Linked DNA regions of Drosophila melanogaster. The protein of the gene in region 1 interacts with the protein of each later gene in a pairwise test. Each region holds a gene or a part of one and is shown on either strand. Other genes may lie near its edges.

What was found.
Region 2: the proteins of phr (region 1) and Tango9 interact in a two-hybrid assay, tested with the Drosophila melanogaster proteins (one large-scale study listed by BioGRID).

Annotation. Positions count from the first base shown.
Region 1 is NT_033778.4:7,821,120-7,828,836, forward strand, and holds phr (photorepair), read left to right. Parts: upstream 1-4,169; 5' UTR 4,170-4,384; coding exon 4,385-4,426; exon of another isoform or gene 4,427-4,480; coding exon 4,481-5,752; intron 5,753-5,814; coding exon 5,815-6,168; 3' UTR 6,169-6,200; downstream 6,201-7,717. Other genes in the region: cathD (cathepsin D), read right to left, coding at 1,106-1,366, 1,430-2,347; CG30383 (uncharacterized protein), read right to left, coding at 3,007-3,339, 3,573-4,004; Prosalpha1 (proteasome alpha1 subunit), read right to left, coding at 6,282-6,763, 7,052-7,228, 7,291-7,366.
Region 2 is NT_033777.3:11,969,099-11,978,402, forward strand, and holds Tango9 (transport and golgi organization 9), read right to left. Parts: upstream 5,813-9,304; 5' UTR 5,516-5,812; coding exon 5,448-5,515; intron 5,360-5,447; coding exon 5,212-5,359; intron 5,130-5,211; coding exon 4,976-5,129; intron 4,915-4,975; coding exon 4,139-4,914; 3' UTR 3,771-4,138; coding exon of another isoform or gene 3,002-3,770; 3' UTR 2,931-3,001; coding exon of another isoform or gene 2,796-2,930; 3' UTR 2,734-2,795; coding exon of another isoform or gene 2,678-2,733; 3' UTR 2,078-2,677; coding exon of another isoform or gene 1,933-2,077; 3' UTR 1,909-1,932; downstream 1-1,908. Other genes in the region: GC1 (glutamate carrier 1), read left to right, coding at 120-178, 997-1,131, 1,190-1,675, 1,736-1,876, 1,933-2,077; GC2 (glutamate carrier 2), read left to right, coding at 2,678-2,733, 2,796-2,930, 3,002-3,770; CG10005 (uncharacterized protein), read right to left, coding at 6,418-6,616, 7,001-7,397, 7,891-7,990.

The sequences.
Region 1 (7,717 bases):
TTACCAAAACGGCATAATAACAGTATAGCGCACTCACTCTAATTAGATTTCAAATTCCCGATTAAAAAAAAATAAAACACTAATGTTATCAATACCCTTTCCTGATTCTGTTCAACTAAATAGGAAAATCAATACTTGCAATCAATAAGCGTTTTACTACATACTTTAATATCAAAAATATCTGAATGAACTTTATTATAAAATTATAATTGTTATACTTAATTATTGTCAAAACTTTAGTATTAAAACTGTAACTACCTCTTAAGTAGATGAGAAGAGTAGAAGAGGGAATTAAGATCTATCAACGTAGTATCTGCTAAAGACGTAAAGATGCGGCAACTATTTCTGCGCCTGGGTACTGAAACGACGAACTGAATAATATCTGCCATCAGACGCCAACCAGAGTGCGTTCAACACATACGTTTTGATGGTCAACTAGTTCAACCAACATCAGCATCATCGTCGTCAACAAGTCGACGGTTACAATAAAGATTTTTTCCAAGTTCGCTACGATCATCTCCAGAACCTTGTTGCGAACCCATGACATGGAGAATCAGCAGCATTTACGAACTTCTCGGATCATCCAGACACGCAGAGCTGCCTTCCCTTCGATGGTTTAACGCAGTACCAGGTTGGCAGTATGGGAACTTAGTGCACAACCAATGTTACCCGTAAGATCCGCTTTCAAATAGATTTGCCAATTGTAAAAAGTCTGTGGACAGCCTTCGTCTTAGAAGGGGAGGAGTTAACACAATCACAAAACACCCGAAATATAGTCGTAAGCCTCAAGTGCTTTTCCCATCTATAGATCGAGCTTTACCTATAAGAAACTGTAACTTGTTAAGCTTTAGAGATAAGAACTCTTGCTATACTTAAGTTAGTCGATTTTGGAAGATTAGAAGCGTCGGTCATCGCCACGTACTTACTATTCGTCTCATTAAGTGCAGACCGCGCAAGCCCTATTGTAATTAATAAACTTACGCTAATAAATATATGGAAAATCTACTAAAATGATAATTTATATATTATTCTTCGGAGAAACCCGCAATGGGATCGATCGATAATGTTTACAATTTAAATTTTAAGTATACTTTTCTTTGTTCGATTATTTGGCATCGGCGAAGCCCACACGATCGTTGCCCATGTCAAACTCGGTGTAGTATTTGCCAATGAAAACGTCACCGAGGATCCACAAGGGTCCGTTTGGAGGGGGGATGTCCAAGCCCATAAAGCCGGACAGACAGATGGTCTTACCCATCTGGGCCACACGGAGAATATAGTCCTTGCCCTCGAGCTCGAAGGTCTTTCCGCCCAGCACAAACTTGATTACCGGCAATTGGGGAATGAGATCGCAAGAAACCACATACTAAAGTAAGAAATTAAGAGGATTAGCAGTGCTTCATGTGAGAACTTAGAGCATGGTACTCACCTGACCACCGATGATGGGAGTTCCACCAATCTTCTGGTTAATAGAGGTGGCCTCTTCCAAGGGCGCAGCAATTAGTGAGGTACCGGTGTCAGCGATCACCTGGCAACCGCCCTTGCACAGCTGCAAATCGCCAATGGAGGCGGCATCCATCTTGATTTGCCAGTAGGCCTTGCGGGTAACGGGCAAGTAGGTGAATTCACCAGTGTAGTGGTTGGGATCGGAGCCGCCAAAGATGATCTCACCGCCCTCGGGCGAGGCGGGATCGCGATTCAGGTAGAATGAGAACACCGGAGCGGAGATCAAACCCTGTTCGTACATGGCGTAAAATGGCGGCTTCACCTTGTCCACCGAGATGGAGTTGTAGCCCAGGCCTAGGATGCCGTCGAACTTGGCAGCTACGAAGACCAGGCCCGGCTCACTGAGCGCCTCAGCGAATGTCTGATCCTTGATGTCCAGGCCGGCAATGGACACCGTATCCGTGGACAGGTATCCGGACAAGCTGCCCGAGCCATACTGGATGGCGAACTCAGTGCCGTTCTTGGTGTAGGTCTTCGACTTGGAGGCATCGTACTTGTTGTGCATCAAACAGGCGATGTTGGTCAGGTGGCACTTCTTGGACGGCACCCACAAGTTCGAGGAGCCGGTGTCGAAAACCACACGGAAGTTCTGCGGTGGCGAGCCAATGGCAATGGGCCCATAGTACTGCGCGTCCATATAGTTGGACAGCGGTTCCGGCACATCACCTCCGCCGTACCTAATGCGCAATTGCTGCAGCTCCGTGCCCACATCCGCAAAGTGCCGGCGGGCCGACTGAAATTTGTGGAGCGGTACGCGCAGCAATCCGGGCTTCTCCTGCGAATTTGGGTGGGCCACGGCCGCAGCCAGGAAGGCGACTAGAAGCAGTGCAACCTTCTGCATTTTGATTTCTATGTTACGCTTCTCTGGTGGCTAAAACTGCAATGATCGCTGCAGTTAATTAAATATTGCGGCACAGCGAAAATGATTCAGCACAGATAATGTACTAAATTTGGCTTGGCGCGTCGTTTTGATTAGAGAGATTCGATAGTTTTTGTTGTAAACTAATGCAATTCTTTAATTTTCGGAATGTTTCTTTTTAATATTTCGCGTTTATGTATATATAATACAAATGTATCATTATTTCTACACATTTAGGAAGAGCTTGTATCATGACTACGATCTTACTTTAGAGACAATAAGGGAAAGCTAAAAAAGTATTTCCCATCTTTCATTTTTAAACGCTTTTATGAGCAAACAATTAACAATTATGATGAGCAACCTTAATGTATTAATTGATAATATAGATAACAATCGTAAGGAGCGGGTCGAAGCTGAATTTCGAATCTTTACTTGTATATATAAATTCTAATAAATTCATGATAACATGGAATTATATATTAAAATATGAATAGTAAGTTGTATTTTGAGCTTAAATGGTTCAAAAATATTACAAAAATAGTCTTCTTATAGTCACCTAAAATCCAGAGAAATAATTTTATACTATTGATTAAAATGAAATAAAAGTATTAAATATAGATAAAAGATATAGCTAATCCTTTCTAGTACTTTTTACAATCACTTATTACTCGACAAAGTTTGGATTTGACCTTAGCACAGACATCCAAATCGGAGATTAGGTCATCAATGTTCGTTCGGAACGGAGTAACTCTAGCAGTATCCTCGAATGACTGTTTGGCGCGCCGCATTCTTTCGTGAATCTCACTCATATCGAGCATCTTTCCAATAGAAAGCTCATGGTTGGTGGACAACAGTACCGAGAACAGAACGGCGGACTCCATGGAGACTTTGCTTCGATACCCAACGCAGGTTTTCTGCTCCATTTCATCGCTTTCCATGAGCACGGTTTGGCATCTTTTCAGGGAATCGCCTTTCTATAAAAATCGAGCAAAAATTAATATCATACTATTGGATTAAGAGAGTAAGAGATATAAGATTATAATGTGATGTGTAAGTGCCCGGATAACTGCATAAGGATAGATTAAATTAAATTAAAAAAAGGGTACTTATTGTTTATTAACGAAAGCAATTTTAAGTAAATACATTCATATTTATGCATGTACATAGTAAATTGGCATCAAAATTATTCGCCGACAGATATGCTTACCTTAATCTTCTTGATATCTTCAGGTTGGATAAAATGTTTCTGGCGCTGGACTACAAATCGAGCTGCAAGGTCACAATCCGGAGTGTACTGGTAGCCTTGGGCAACGCGCCTGAAGAATGGATGCAGATCCAGAAGCTTAAGGCGTTTTTGGGCCATCTCCGAAAGCTGATAGGTGTCCAGTTGGGGCAGAACTTCGGTTAGGAATAAATGGCACACTTCCTTGGCAGTGAGATCCCTGAAAGCCTCGTTCCTGGTGTTCCACTCCTTCCAGGCTGAAGCATCCTGGATGTAAAACAGACGGCACGACGCAACAGCGTAGTCGATCAACTCCCTGTGGATCGATTGTTCAGCATCGTGCAAAAGCGTAGATCGAGCAATACGGCCGATATTGGCATTAAATTCCGCTTCGTCCACAGTTTCGTCCATTTTCATTCCCAATATAAAACATTTTATTATAAAACAGTAAAGAATCGGTTTAATTTCAACGTGCGCTTTCAGATCTGCACTCTTTTTGTAATCGATAACTGCTGTGTATCGTATGCGGCACTGAGACTATTGAAATCTTAGGGAATGTTTAGGAAATAGGAACATCTGGAGTTAAATGTATTTCAAAACCGAAAGCCACAACTTTCCTTAAAATATTATGCCAAAAAAAAATCTACTAATATAAATTTAAACATAATACTTAATTCTTTATTTATGTTAATTCATAATAATTTCTCTTCCAAGGGAAGTGTATTTGGAGTGCGGCTACTAGCATAATTTTCACTCTCATTGAACAGCTGATAGAGTCGCCATATCGTTATACAGTTATGTTTACACTTGCTTCATATTGGCGCGAATCATTCAAGATTGTGGGTTAAATCGAATTAGTAAAAATCAAATCACGATTTTTCATTCATGTTCAGGTTCTTCCGCTGCAGGCGATGAAGCGTACGAAGGCGCAGAAGGCAGGTCCTTCCAAAAAGGCAGCAAAAAACGAGAAGGCCAGCTCCGAGCCCAAAAGTGACCAGGAAAGCAGCGATGAGGAGGCCTCCACATCGAAGGCTTTGTTGGTTTCTAAGCCGGATTACCAAAACTTCGAGCAGTTTCTTACCCACTTGGAACACCAGCGAGTCTGCACGGCAGCCAACATACAGGAGTTCTCTTTTCGAAAGAAACGAGTGCGCGTTCTGTCCAAAACCGAAGATGTAAAGGAATCCAGCCTAGGCGGCGTCGTCTACTGGATGTCCCGCGACGGGCGCGTACAGGACAACTGGGCCCTGCTCTTTGCCCAGCGTCTGGCTCTCAAGCTGGAATTACCCTTAACTGTGGTATTTTGCCTAGTTCCCAAATTCCTGAATGCCACTATCAGGCACTACAAATTCATGATGGGCGGCCTGCAGGAGGTGGAGCAGCAGTGTCGCGCCCTTGACATACCGTTTCACCTGCTGATGGGCTCCGCTGTTGAAAAGTTACCACAATTTGTGAAATCCAAGGACATCGGAGCCGTAGTCTGTGACTTTGCTCCGCTGCGTTTGCCACGCCAATGGGTCGAGGATGTGGGCAAGGCACTGCCCAAGAGCGTGCCGTTGGTGCAAGTCGATGCTCACAATGTAGTCCCCTTGTGGGTGGCCTCCGACAAACAGGAGTACGCTGCGCGTACCATCCGCAACAAGATCAACTCCAAGCTAGGGGAGTACCTCAGCGTATTCCCACCAGTTGTGCGGCATCCTCATGGAACTGGCTGCAAGAATGTGAATACCGTGGACTGGTCAGCTGCTTATGCTTCGCTGCAGTGCGACATGGAAGTGGACGAGGTGCAGTGGGCCAAGCCGGGGTATAAAGCAGCCTGCCAGCAGCTCTACGAGTTCTGCAGTCGTCGTTTGCGCCATTTCAATGACAAACGAAACGATCCCACGGCAGACGCCTTGTCCGGACTCTCGCCGTGGCTGCACTTTGGTCATATTTCGGCTCAGCGCTGTGCACTGGAGGTGCAGCGGTTTCGAGGACAACACAAAGCCTCGGCGGATGCGTTTTGCGAGGAGGCCATTGTGCGCCGCGAACTGGCGGATAACTTTTGCTTCTACAACGAGCACTATGATAGTCTTAAAGGTCTAAGTTCTTGGGCATATCAAACGCTAGATGCACATCGCAAGGACAAGCGAGATCCCTGCTACAGCTTAGAAGAACTAGAAAAGGTTCACCACGGATTCTTTTTCTTTTGATTTGAGACTAAAATGATTTTATAATTTTTTCCTAGTCTCTCACTTATGACGACCTGTGGAACTCGGCGCAACTGCAGCTGGTACGCGAGGGAAAGATGCACGGCTTTTTGCGCATGTACTGGGCCAAAAAGATTCTGGAATGGACAGCGACACCGGAGCATGCGTTGGAGTACGCAATCCTGCTGAACGACAAGTACAGTCTGGATGGTCGCGACCCCAACGGCTATGTGGGCTGCATGTGGTCCATTGGCGGCGTCCATGACATGGGCTGGAAGGAGCGGGCTATCTTCGGTAAGGTTAGGTACATGAACTATCAGGGATGCCGTCGCAAATTCGATGTAAATGCCTTTGTCATGCGATACGGCGGTAAGGTGCACAAGAAGAAATAAAACGTTTTCGGATTTGCCTTTGTTTTGAATGCAAGCCAAGAGCATTTTTTATTTAACCATAGATCCAAGAGGCTTTATAAAATATGACAAAATTACAGCTAGCGGGACAGAACTTAGTCCTTCTCGGCGATCTTGGTGAGGTGTTCCTCGATCTCCCGCTCATCCAAAATACGGAAAGTGGGATCAGACTTGCTGACCACGCCGATCTCAATGCCGTTCGGCTTGAAGTCTATAGCGAGCACACTGGACAGACAGGAGATGGCCAGCTGGATCGCTTTCTCCTCCGACAAGTTGGGCTTGTACTTCTTTTCCAGATAGCTGTTGGCCTCCAGAGTCTTGGCACCCACGCTGCAGGCCTTGAACCCGCTGAAGTAGCCAGCCGGGTCCGTCTTGTAAACGCTGGGGCCGATTTCATTGTCGTAAGCGATCAGCACCATGCTGCAGCCGAGCGGACGCATCTCGGCATTCTGCGTGTACACCTGGTTGATATCCGCAATTCGACGACACAGCACATCCACGGGCATTTCGTAGCCGTACTTGTAGCGGAAGTTGGCGGCCTCGTATCTGGCCTTCTGCACCTGTGAGCGGGAATCAGCTAGGGGAGAGAAATAATTTTAAGTATTTAGTGACACTCTTGGGTTGATATGTCCTCTTTTCTAGTTGAAGCACCGTGTGAAAACTACGTTTAAAATGGCTCCACGCTATACGCCTTTGCCCTAATGTCTGGCAGGCTATTTCTTCTGATTTTAGCACAATCATAAGTGAATCGCTACTTGGTTACATGGGACATATCAACAATGGGATAACTCTGTGCTAACTCGACTGGAATTTGACTCGAATCACGCCGGGATAAACAAGAATTTAAAGTATCTATGGTTCATACCTATGCGTCCGGTCATTGCGCATCCAATGTCCTTGGTGATGCGGAACAGGTGGGTCACCGTTTCAGGCACGATGTTCTTCTCGGTCACTTTTTTTTGGGTGGCCACCACGGCACAGTCGCCACTCTTCAGCGCCACCGTGGTGATGTTCTCCTGGGCAATAGCCTTGAAGGCGTACTCTGGCGGGGAAATGAGAATGTCAGACTGGATACAATGGAGCCGCAAGTGCCAGGATACTAACCCACTTGGTAGAGGCGTCCCTCCGGAGAGAAGATCGTGATGTGTCTGTCAAAGCCGGCTGAACTTCCGCGAGACATGATGCTTTCTTCGTGCTTCGATAGCTGCAATAGACAACGCCGGTTAAAATTCAGTTCTCAAGTCTGCCGCAAGCAACACACCTTTTGAACAATTAAAATTTACAAATTTGTATATAGCAGGGAAAATGTCGCTTCAAATCGAACCTACTGTGCAAAATTCAGATTGTCATTCTCAGCCCGAAAATGAACCTAAAAAATACCAAAAAGAAACGCGCGCTGGGATATATCGTTTATCATTGAAATCGAATATTTGGAAAAAGCCAAAATAGTGTTAAGCTACGCTTACAAAATGTTTAAATTATTCCTATTTTTATTTGTGAATTATTGTAAATTAGTCAACATAGAGCAAAG
Region 2 (9,304 bases), on another chromosome or scaffold:
TCTCTATATTTTTATTGTTTTGTTACAAATTATAAAAAAACTAGTTTGTACCAATTCTTTGTTTGCTCATCATATATAGCATATGTGTATATCTTTAATGGTTGTGTGTATTTCGCAGAATGTCGAGCAGTGCAACCATCGCAACGCCGCTGCCGCAGCCGCAGCACCAGCAATTCGCGTAAGTTATCAATAAACATTTCAATTAGCCTGTGTAATTTAATCTTAAAGACAAACAAACATATTTGCTTTACAAAACCTATTTTTGCACGGCCAAACCAAACAAAATCACCTGGGAATTATATTAACAAAGGTAGCGCAAAGGGTTCATTTGTGTAATAAATATTATGATTAATAGCTATTCAACTCAAAAATAATAAAGTCTAAGTTCTTGGTTTTAAAGTTAGTTTCCCTTAGCCAATATCCACTGTATTTGAGTTTATCATCGTTAAAGACTCGTCACATGAATAGACATTTATACACATTTCATTTTCAAGTGCTTTGCCCTCAGCCATCAGACAGTTTTCCCCCTTCAACCCACATTTCCCTCAAATAGTTGCAATAAAACTAGGACAAATCGGAAGAGAAGGATAGCAGTACTATGACATAATATGATTGCATTTTGCACTTTGTTTTTCTTCTGGTCGATTGTTTAAAAAGAAATGCAAGCCGAAAATAGAAGCAAGCTAAGACTAGATAGTACTATTATAACCAATCACACATAAGTATGTATGTTTCCTTGGCAGTGCGCCAAATATTTCTTCCTTATTAATGATCAACACATTTGACCTTTTCTCTGCTTTAATTGTATGTTCAATAGTAGTCTCTTAGGAGCCCTGATTGTATATGTGGGCCAAGTTCAAAGCCAATAAGACTATTGTTTACATTTTGTTGTTGCACAGCGCGAATGCAAAGTTAGCGCAGTGCAAATATTTGTCAATTAGCCAAGCATAATGAGATAGCGTCAATTGCCAACGATTTAATTCCTTCTATTTGCAGCCTGCTGCCGAAGATCATTAACGGCGGAATTGCGGGAATCATCGGAGTGACATGCGTCTTCCCACTGGACTTGGTCAAGACGAGGCTGCAAAACCAGCAGATCGGACCCAATGGCGAACGCATGTACAACAGCATGTGAGTAAAGGCAAGCATGAATCTCTAGATGGCTTTATAATTTGAAATACCTTCGTAGGTTCGATTGCTTCCGCAAGACGTACAAGGCCGAAGGATACTTTGGCATGTACCGCGGCTCTGGCGTGAACATCCTGCTAATCACACCTGAGAAGGCCATCAAGTTGACCGCCAACGATTACTTCCGCCACAAGCTGACCACCAAGGATGGCAAACTTCCGCTGACCAGTCAGATGGTTGCCGGCGGTCTGGCCGGTGCATTCCAAATTATCGTCACCACGCCCATGGAGCTTCTCAAGATCCAGATGCAGGATGCGGGTCGCGTGGCGGCGGCGGCCAAATTGGCTGGCAAGACGGTGGAGAAGGTGTCGGCCACCCAATTGGCTTCCCAGCTTATCAAGGACAAGGGCATCTTTGGCCTGTACAAGGGTATCGGTGCCACAGGACTGCGAGATGTCACCTTCTCTATCATTTACTTCCCCCTTTTCGCTACTCTCAATGACCTGGGTCCACGACGAAACGATGGATCTGGCGAGGCTGTGTTCTGGTAAGTAAAGCATAATTGTCTATTTGTCATTTTTATATTTATTTTATGCTAATTAAATAGGTGCTCCTTCCTGGCGGGCTTGGCGGCCGGTTCCACCGCTGCCCTCGCAGTTAATCCCTTCGACGTGGTCAAGACGCGTCTGCAGGCGATTAAGAAGGCCGACGGTGAGAAGGAGTTCAAGGGCATATCAGATTGTATCACGTGAGTTCAAGAAATGTTGCCAATATATCCTTAAACTCATATAAATTCTCCAATAGTAAGACACTGAAGCACGAGGGACCCACCGCCTTCTTCAAGGGCGGCCTGTGCCGAATGATTGTGATTGCTCCTCTGTTCGGAATCGCTCAAACGGTCTACTATCTGGGCGTGGCCGAGGGCCTGCTGGGCTATCAGAAAAAGTAGGGCGGCTTGGAATGAGTGCGCGCCAAGGCGGATTGACAAGACCGAAGCATTTTAAATGTACTCTCTTTGAATATTGAATGTGTATGTATATCGTGTTTAAATGTTGTTAAAGCTGTCCATGAATGTAATCGTGAAGTCTCTATAGTAAGCTAAAGTAATCGAACGATGCGCCAGCCAGCGAAGTTGTTAAAGTTTTCCCCAATCCTCTTAAACTACTCAAACGATGTACTACATATGTATTTAGACCATGTCAGAAGATAACTGATGCTCCAATGACAATAAGATAAAGCAAATTAATCGCTGATATAATGTACATTTTTGGTTAATATCATAGTCTATAACTGTTGTGTTTGGATACTCTCTCTATTTAGTCTTTATTTCCCGAGCAATCCGCAGCTAGCCATGAACGTTCTGCATCAAATTGTATTAGTAATGCATTTTTCTTTGCTGCCAGGCGAAATTTACTTTTAGTGGCATTCAAGAACATGACTAGAGAAATTGTATGCTTTATAAAAACCGTCAGAATTGAACTAACGAAATATACTAATGTAAATTCAAAATTTTCGTACAACATTAATTATTTCTTGGCCTATAAAAAAAATGTTGGAACAAGTTGAGCAAAAGAACCAAGAGCAAAAAAAACCACAAAAGTTTAAGTTAATAAGTTCTACCATATGGTTAATACTACAACCTATACTTAATTGCGAACCCATCACAGCGTTTTTCCGAAAATTATAAATGGCGGCGTCGCCGGTATTATTGGAGTGGCATGCGTCTATCCACTGGACATGGTTAAGACGCGACTGCAAAACCAAACAATAGGTCCCAATGGAGAGCGCATGTACACCAGCATGTGAGTTTTGGGTTTTCGGTTTGGGTTGTGTTTTGTTATTATCCGCCTAATGGAGAACTCTATTGCCTTAGCGCCGACTGTTTCCGAAAGACTATCGCCAGCGAAGGCTATTTTGGAATGTACAGAGGCTCAGCGGTGAACATCGTGCTGATTACGCCCGAGAAAGCCATCAAGTTGACCGCCAACGACTTCTTTCGGTATCATCTGGCATCCGATGACGGGGTTATTCCGTTGTCACGGGCTACTTTGGCCGGGGGCCTGGCCGGGCTATTCCAGATCGTGGTCACCACGCCCATGGAGCTCCTCAAGATACAGATGCAGGACGCCGGGCGGGTGGCTGCTGCCGACCGAGCGGCAGGACGAGAGGTGAAAACTATAACGGCCTTGGGTCTGACCAAGACGCTCCTTCGTGAGCGTGGAATCTTCGGTTTATACAAGGGTGTGGGCGCCACTGGAGTGCGGGATATTACGTTCTCGATGGTGTACTTTCCGCTAATGGCCTGGATAAATGACCAGGGGCCACGCAAGTCAGATGGTTCTGGGGAAGCGGTCTTCTACTGGTCTCTGATAGCTGGACTCTTGTCTGGCATGACTTCTGCCTTTATGGTCACCCCTTTTGATGTGGTCAAGACTCGACTGCAGGCCGATGGCGAGAAGAAGTTCAAAGGCATCATGGACTGTGTAAATAGGACCCTTAAGGAAGAGGGCATAAGTGCATTCTTTAAGGGCGGTCTATGTCGGATAATGGTGCTAGCTCCACTATTTGGTATCGCGCAAATGTTTTATTTTTTGGGTGTGGGCGAGAAGATTCTGGGCATCGAGCGAACGAAATCTGTGTAACTTATAATTAAAGGTCTCTTCCCCCCCCTCATATTAATAAGAATTTTTTTATCCCCGAGTCGATTAAGCCATGTCCGTTTTATCCGTCCGTCTTCTACACAAGCTAGTTCCCCAGGTTTGAAGCTATCTGTATGAAACTTTCCCAAATTGGACGGCTACATCATAGAGGAATTATCCTATATAAACCAATATTTAGAATTTAATGAAATGAAATGACTTCTAGGAGCTCAATTAACATTTAATGTGTGTATTTTCTTATTGCATCTATACATATAATCGATAAGTAATCTTCAAGAATCAGCCCAGGGTTGATTTGCAGCCCATCTCTCTCATCACAATCCTTTCACCTCAGCTACTCCTCAGTCACCTTAGATCACATCCGCTGGCCGGCTGTTCGGAGCAGCCGCATTCTCAGTACCCAAATCCACGTAACGAGCACGATACCAGCGGGCCACTGCAGCTCGATACCAGTCGAGGAATAGGGCCTGTCGGTAGAGGATGATACCCATTTGCAGGATGAGGAAGCCCATGATCGTGACCAGATTCATGTACTCCCACTCCATGATAATCACAAACACCCAGATGAAGTAAACGCGTAGGCCATCGGCCAGAAGCCGGTTGGCGCTGGACGAGTACATCGCAATGTACAGTCCAATGAAGTTGTACATGGCACATGAGATGGTGAAGGCAATCAGAGTCATAATCAATGAGATACTCCCCTGCAGAGCCGCAAAGAGATCACCCCAATCGTCGAAAACTGCACGCGAACTACAGCTAAATGGATCAATGCTCGGCAGGAAGTTCATGCAAATGGCCAGCATCGAGGTGATGCCCAAGCCGAAGATTCCCTGCCAGCCAGCAGCTTGCAGTGGAGCAACATTCGAGGTTTTTAGCTGTTTCTCCTCGCAAACATATTGCAGTCCGTGCAGAATTTCAGCAATGATGATGAGTAAGTCGCCGGTCAGAATGGATTTGTAGTCCGTGTAAGGCAACGTGACCAGGTCGTATTCAACGCGATGGACGTCCAGACTGATAATGTCCAGCAGGCCGCACGATATCGTAAAGATGGCCAGCCAGTGCCGTCCGGTCAGCGTGTGATTCAGAAACATGGTGCTAAAGATGCCCACAAAGATCAGGGCGGCGCCTGCGGGAAAGATGAGGCGACGTAAGTAATGATAAGCAAGGCCACTGTCTGATAGAAGTACCTCTTATCATCTGAAAGCTGGTGGCGTAAGTCAAGTAAAGTCCGGTGAACAACAGAATGGAGGCTGCCGCATCCAGCAAAGTGGGCAATAGCATGCTAACAGGGCGGAACTCACTGCTGTCCTGCGACAAGATGCTATCCAGATCGGATATAACCTGTGTATGATTGCCAGATGATTAAAAGTTCCTTAAATACAAAAGCTTTGCCGATTATAAACCAACCGGCATTGGAACTTACTCCACGACGATTGGAGATCAGGCGGATCACCTTGAAGACCGCAAAGCACAGGAACTCGCCCAGGAACATGAGCAGTGTGAACACCACTGGATGTTGAAATCCATGAAGTTTTCCATCGCTGCCGATTACCTGTTGTTGATTGGCCCACCTGCAATGCGTACACGCACACACAGCATCGAGTGCACATTTATTTAGCACTATTACTTACTATTATTAAGCGATCTTTTGGTACTCACTTCACCACCAGAACGTTGAAGGTGCCGCTGAGCACAAAGATCAGCGACAGGAAAACACGATGATCCATTCGTCGGCGGAAGATTCACTTGACGGGTGCAGCGTTAATTCGATTTATAAATATTGACGTTCTTTGTGCAATTTGCAATTGTGACTGCGCAGTGATAAGTGCAAAAAAGTGCGGCCAGACGGTCAATTGACTGCCCTTCCACAGATCTATATAATCCACTTGAGTTGTTGTGGTCATTAACCAGTAACTTTACCTTTTTCAAGGTCAAAAACCTAAGTAACTAGTAATTTTTTTGCAAGTAGTGCGAATTAGTTTGTCTTTACGGGACTTTTGTTTATTTTTTTTCGCCAACAGTGAGACCGCACAGGCTAGCAAAAATACTACACAAAATATAGTGAGCAGGAAATCAACAACGAATATGGTCACACTACAAAGCAACTGGTGGGTTTTAAATTGGCGCGTGAAATTATATTTTGAAATTAAAACTGAATCGACACCAAAATGCTTATGGATTTAATATTAGGGAAAGTGTCACATAAAACTTCGTTGACGATCTTTGGGACTTTACAAATTGTATAAATATTTCAACAGAAAAATGGATTACTTTTGCCAAGTTTTTATTAAACACAAACTTAAAAAATATCACAGGATATGAAAAACCATTTAAATGAAAATACATGAAGTGGTGTTAATGCATTTGCCGCACAATTGCCATCAATTTGCTTCCGTTGGCGCCTGCGTCGCATTCTGTGCTAATTTCCTGTAAATAATTCAATATTATAATATAGTATAGGATCGCAAAATCGATATTTAGCAAACATTAGCAAGCAAAAACACAGTTGGCAACCAAAGCGTGTCCTGTCGCCTCACCTGTACTCTGTGGTGTTTCTTTAAGTGTTGTGATAATGTCTTTGAGTATCTTGTGTTCTATTTAAGTATCGTTTCGTGGAGTGTAGGTGTTCCTAGAGCTCATCTCGCGCCTGGGAGGACGATGGCAGCGTCACCTCCTCCACGGAGCCCAGGTGTATGGTTCTATTTGGCCGACTGAACTTTGGTATGTATGCGACCGAGTCGCTGTTGCTGACCACCGAGTTATGTAGGTGTTCCGTGGGTGCCGCGGGATCAGGACTTGTGAGTGTGATTTTCGAACCAGTGGCCACTCTGTGGAATGCATGTATGTGGGCGGGTATTGTACTGGTGGTGTGACAAGTGGACTAAATAATTCGGATAAATATTCGAATATCCTATGAGTACCTATCTGGGCCGTAACTGATTGTTGTGTACCAAAGTTAGTTATGTATGGTTAGTATAGCGCTACTTGGCTGGTATTAGATTTTGGGGGTATAGCAAAAAAACTGGTCATCTCTCTTGTACCTTATGTACAGCTTTTGGAGGTGATTGTAGTCGAAGAGGAAAGATCTAGATTGGTTGAAAAGATCTATTGGCGCTGGCGGGCTCCACCGCGTGCTCCGCGCAACTTTTGTGGGTTTCTAATGCAGATCAGAGATCGTAATCAGAGATTCGGACTCAGATCCGCCACCTTACCTGTCCCTGGCCTGCATGCTGGCCTCCACGTCCAGGTTGCGAGGCTGCCGGAAGTCGCATTCCAGCGAGAAGGCCGAATCTCCGGGTGTGATCAGCTCTGGGTCGTTTTGGATCACCACGATGTTGGTGTAGAGATCACCATCCCGGATCGTCTGGCACTGGTCCAGCTGGAAGTTCATCTCCATTGTGCGGGATCCCTGGCTGGAAGATGGCTTCATGAAGCACGGCGCAGACTGCTTGTAGAAGCTGCCACGAGTGTACATCACACCCATGAAAGGCTTCTCCGTCTCCAGCACCACGTTCATGGAGTCCGCTCCGCACTTGAGGTTAACCTTTTGAATGCCCTGGTCGCTGCCCTCGATTTTAAAGGTGTCCGAAAGGTCTTGTTCCCAGATTTCTGCAATAGGGCGAAACAATTTCATGCTTGACATTAAAGGTGGTTTATGTAACACGTTTCTATGCTATTAAGTAAAAATATCTGCTTCTTTTGCTTTTTAATGTAATGTTGTACGTTTAGTAAACTAGGTATAATTGTTCCAATTAAAAAAATGCAAGTAACTAAACATAAAAGCCTGCTTAAGTTCTTCAACTTTCTTTAAGCATTTATAGACTATAACTCTCCTTTTCTTTTGTTGGCCACTTTTAAGTGCTTTCTTCGCGTAAGTAACCGTTAGAACCACCTGAGCCTACCATTTCTGTGCACCTTATCCACCGAACCGTTGAAGTTCACTCATCTCTCAGATAGCCGGCATTGCTGGTAACCGGTTTCTGTTTATTTTGGTCTGGCTAGAACAGCGCGCAGCAAAAGAACTTGGCATTGGGAATTTCTTCGCCCAACCTGGATGATTCAGTCACGTTGTTCTCTTGCTGACCCAAGTCGACGATCTTACCTTGGTTTTGATTTTTCTGCTGCTTATTGGCAGATACGTGCACAGCCAACAGCAAATTGCAGGCGAACAAAAGCAGAAAGCCATTCATTAATCCCGACATATTACTGCACTTTATTATTATTTAATACAAAACGATTTAAAGTTATAGCGAGTTTCCTGACTCTCGTAGATATCTTCACAGCTGCAAGCCAAGATTCAAACTGACGAAGCAAATGCGGCTGCGCAGCGCATATAAGCGCGACTCAAAAACTCCACTCACCACAGGCGATGAAAGAAAACTGGAAATATGACTCGACTTAAGAGAGGAAGAGTCGACTCCACAGAGAGTCGGTGAGAATTTGGTCAATAGCAGAGCATGAAAACAGTTAATTGCACTGCGCTTTTGATAAGGCGAAAATTTATTGGCAGCGCCGATGGAAAACCAAAACGAATCCATAAGTATAGACATATTGAGTACCCATCAAAATGATGTACATATATGTAATTATTTAAAAATTCTACAAAAAGATTTAGATTCCTTTTCTGGAAACCAAAAACATTTATTTAAATTAAATTAATTAATTAATTAAGTAGATACGAAATTCTTTTGACAATATCTAGCTTTGTAATGTTTTAGAACTCTTAAAACAATAAATATTTGACGAATTTTTTAAGTAAATCTTAAAACGATAAACTACATTTTTCCAGGGTATAAATATTTATTTAAAGCGGCACTTTAAGGAAAACAAAATGCGGCATCGCTCCAAAGACATTTCCGCTTTTCGCGTGTGGCATGTGGATTTCTGCTGCGGTGCATTCGTTTCGCATTTTTAGCGCTGCATTCAACCGATTTTTTTTGGTTGCCGTTCATTATTCAAAATGTTATTAAACTTCCCCGTTTTTTTGCGACTGGCTATGCTCTCGACTTTGGTTCTCCTTCATGCAACGAATTTAATAATTTGAGCAGTGGTTTTCATCTTGAGGTTGGTTTTTATTTTCTTCGTTAGTTTTCCACCGGCATTTGTTGTTGCTTACGTCTTTTGTTATACGTTTATTGCGTTAATTAAAGTGTAATTAGTTAACGATTTCGGTTTGGCCAAGCCAAGCCAGCGAAAGGTGGAAGTGGCGTTGTTCAATATTGGCCAAAATGCATTTACTTCGAGAGATTTGTGGAAGCTCAGCTGCAGTTGATTAAGTTGTTATGCCTCCGTGTGATTGCCGGTTTTCAAAGCTGTGGATTTTGCAAAAAAAGATTGCTGCATTTGTTCGGATTAATTAATTAATAATTAATTTTGCTCATTTTTAAATAATCAAAAATTAGCCGTGCTTTCTTATATTTCAAATCATATTTATAACAGCTTGTTGGTGACTTACCTACCCTATAATTTATGTCACATATATGTGATTTGGCTTGAAGAGCTTACCACTTATCTTC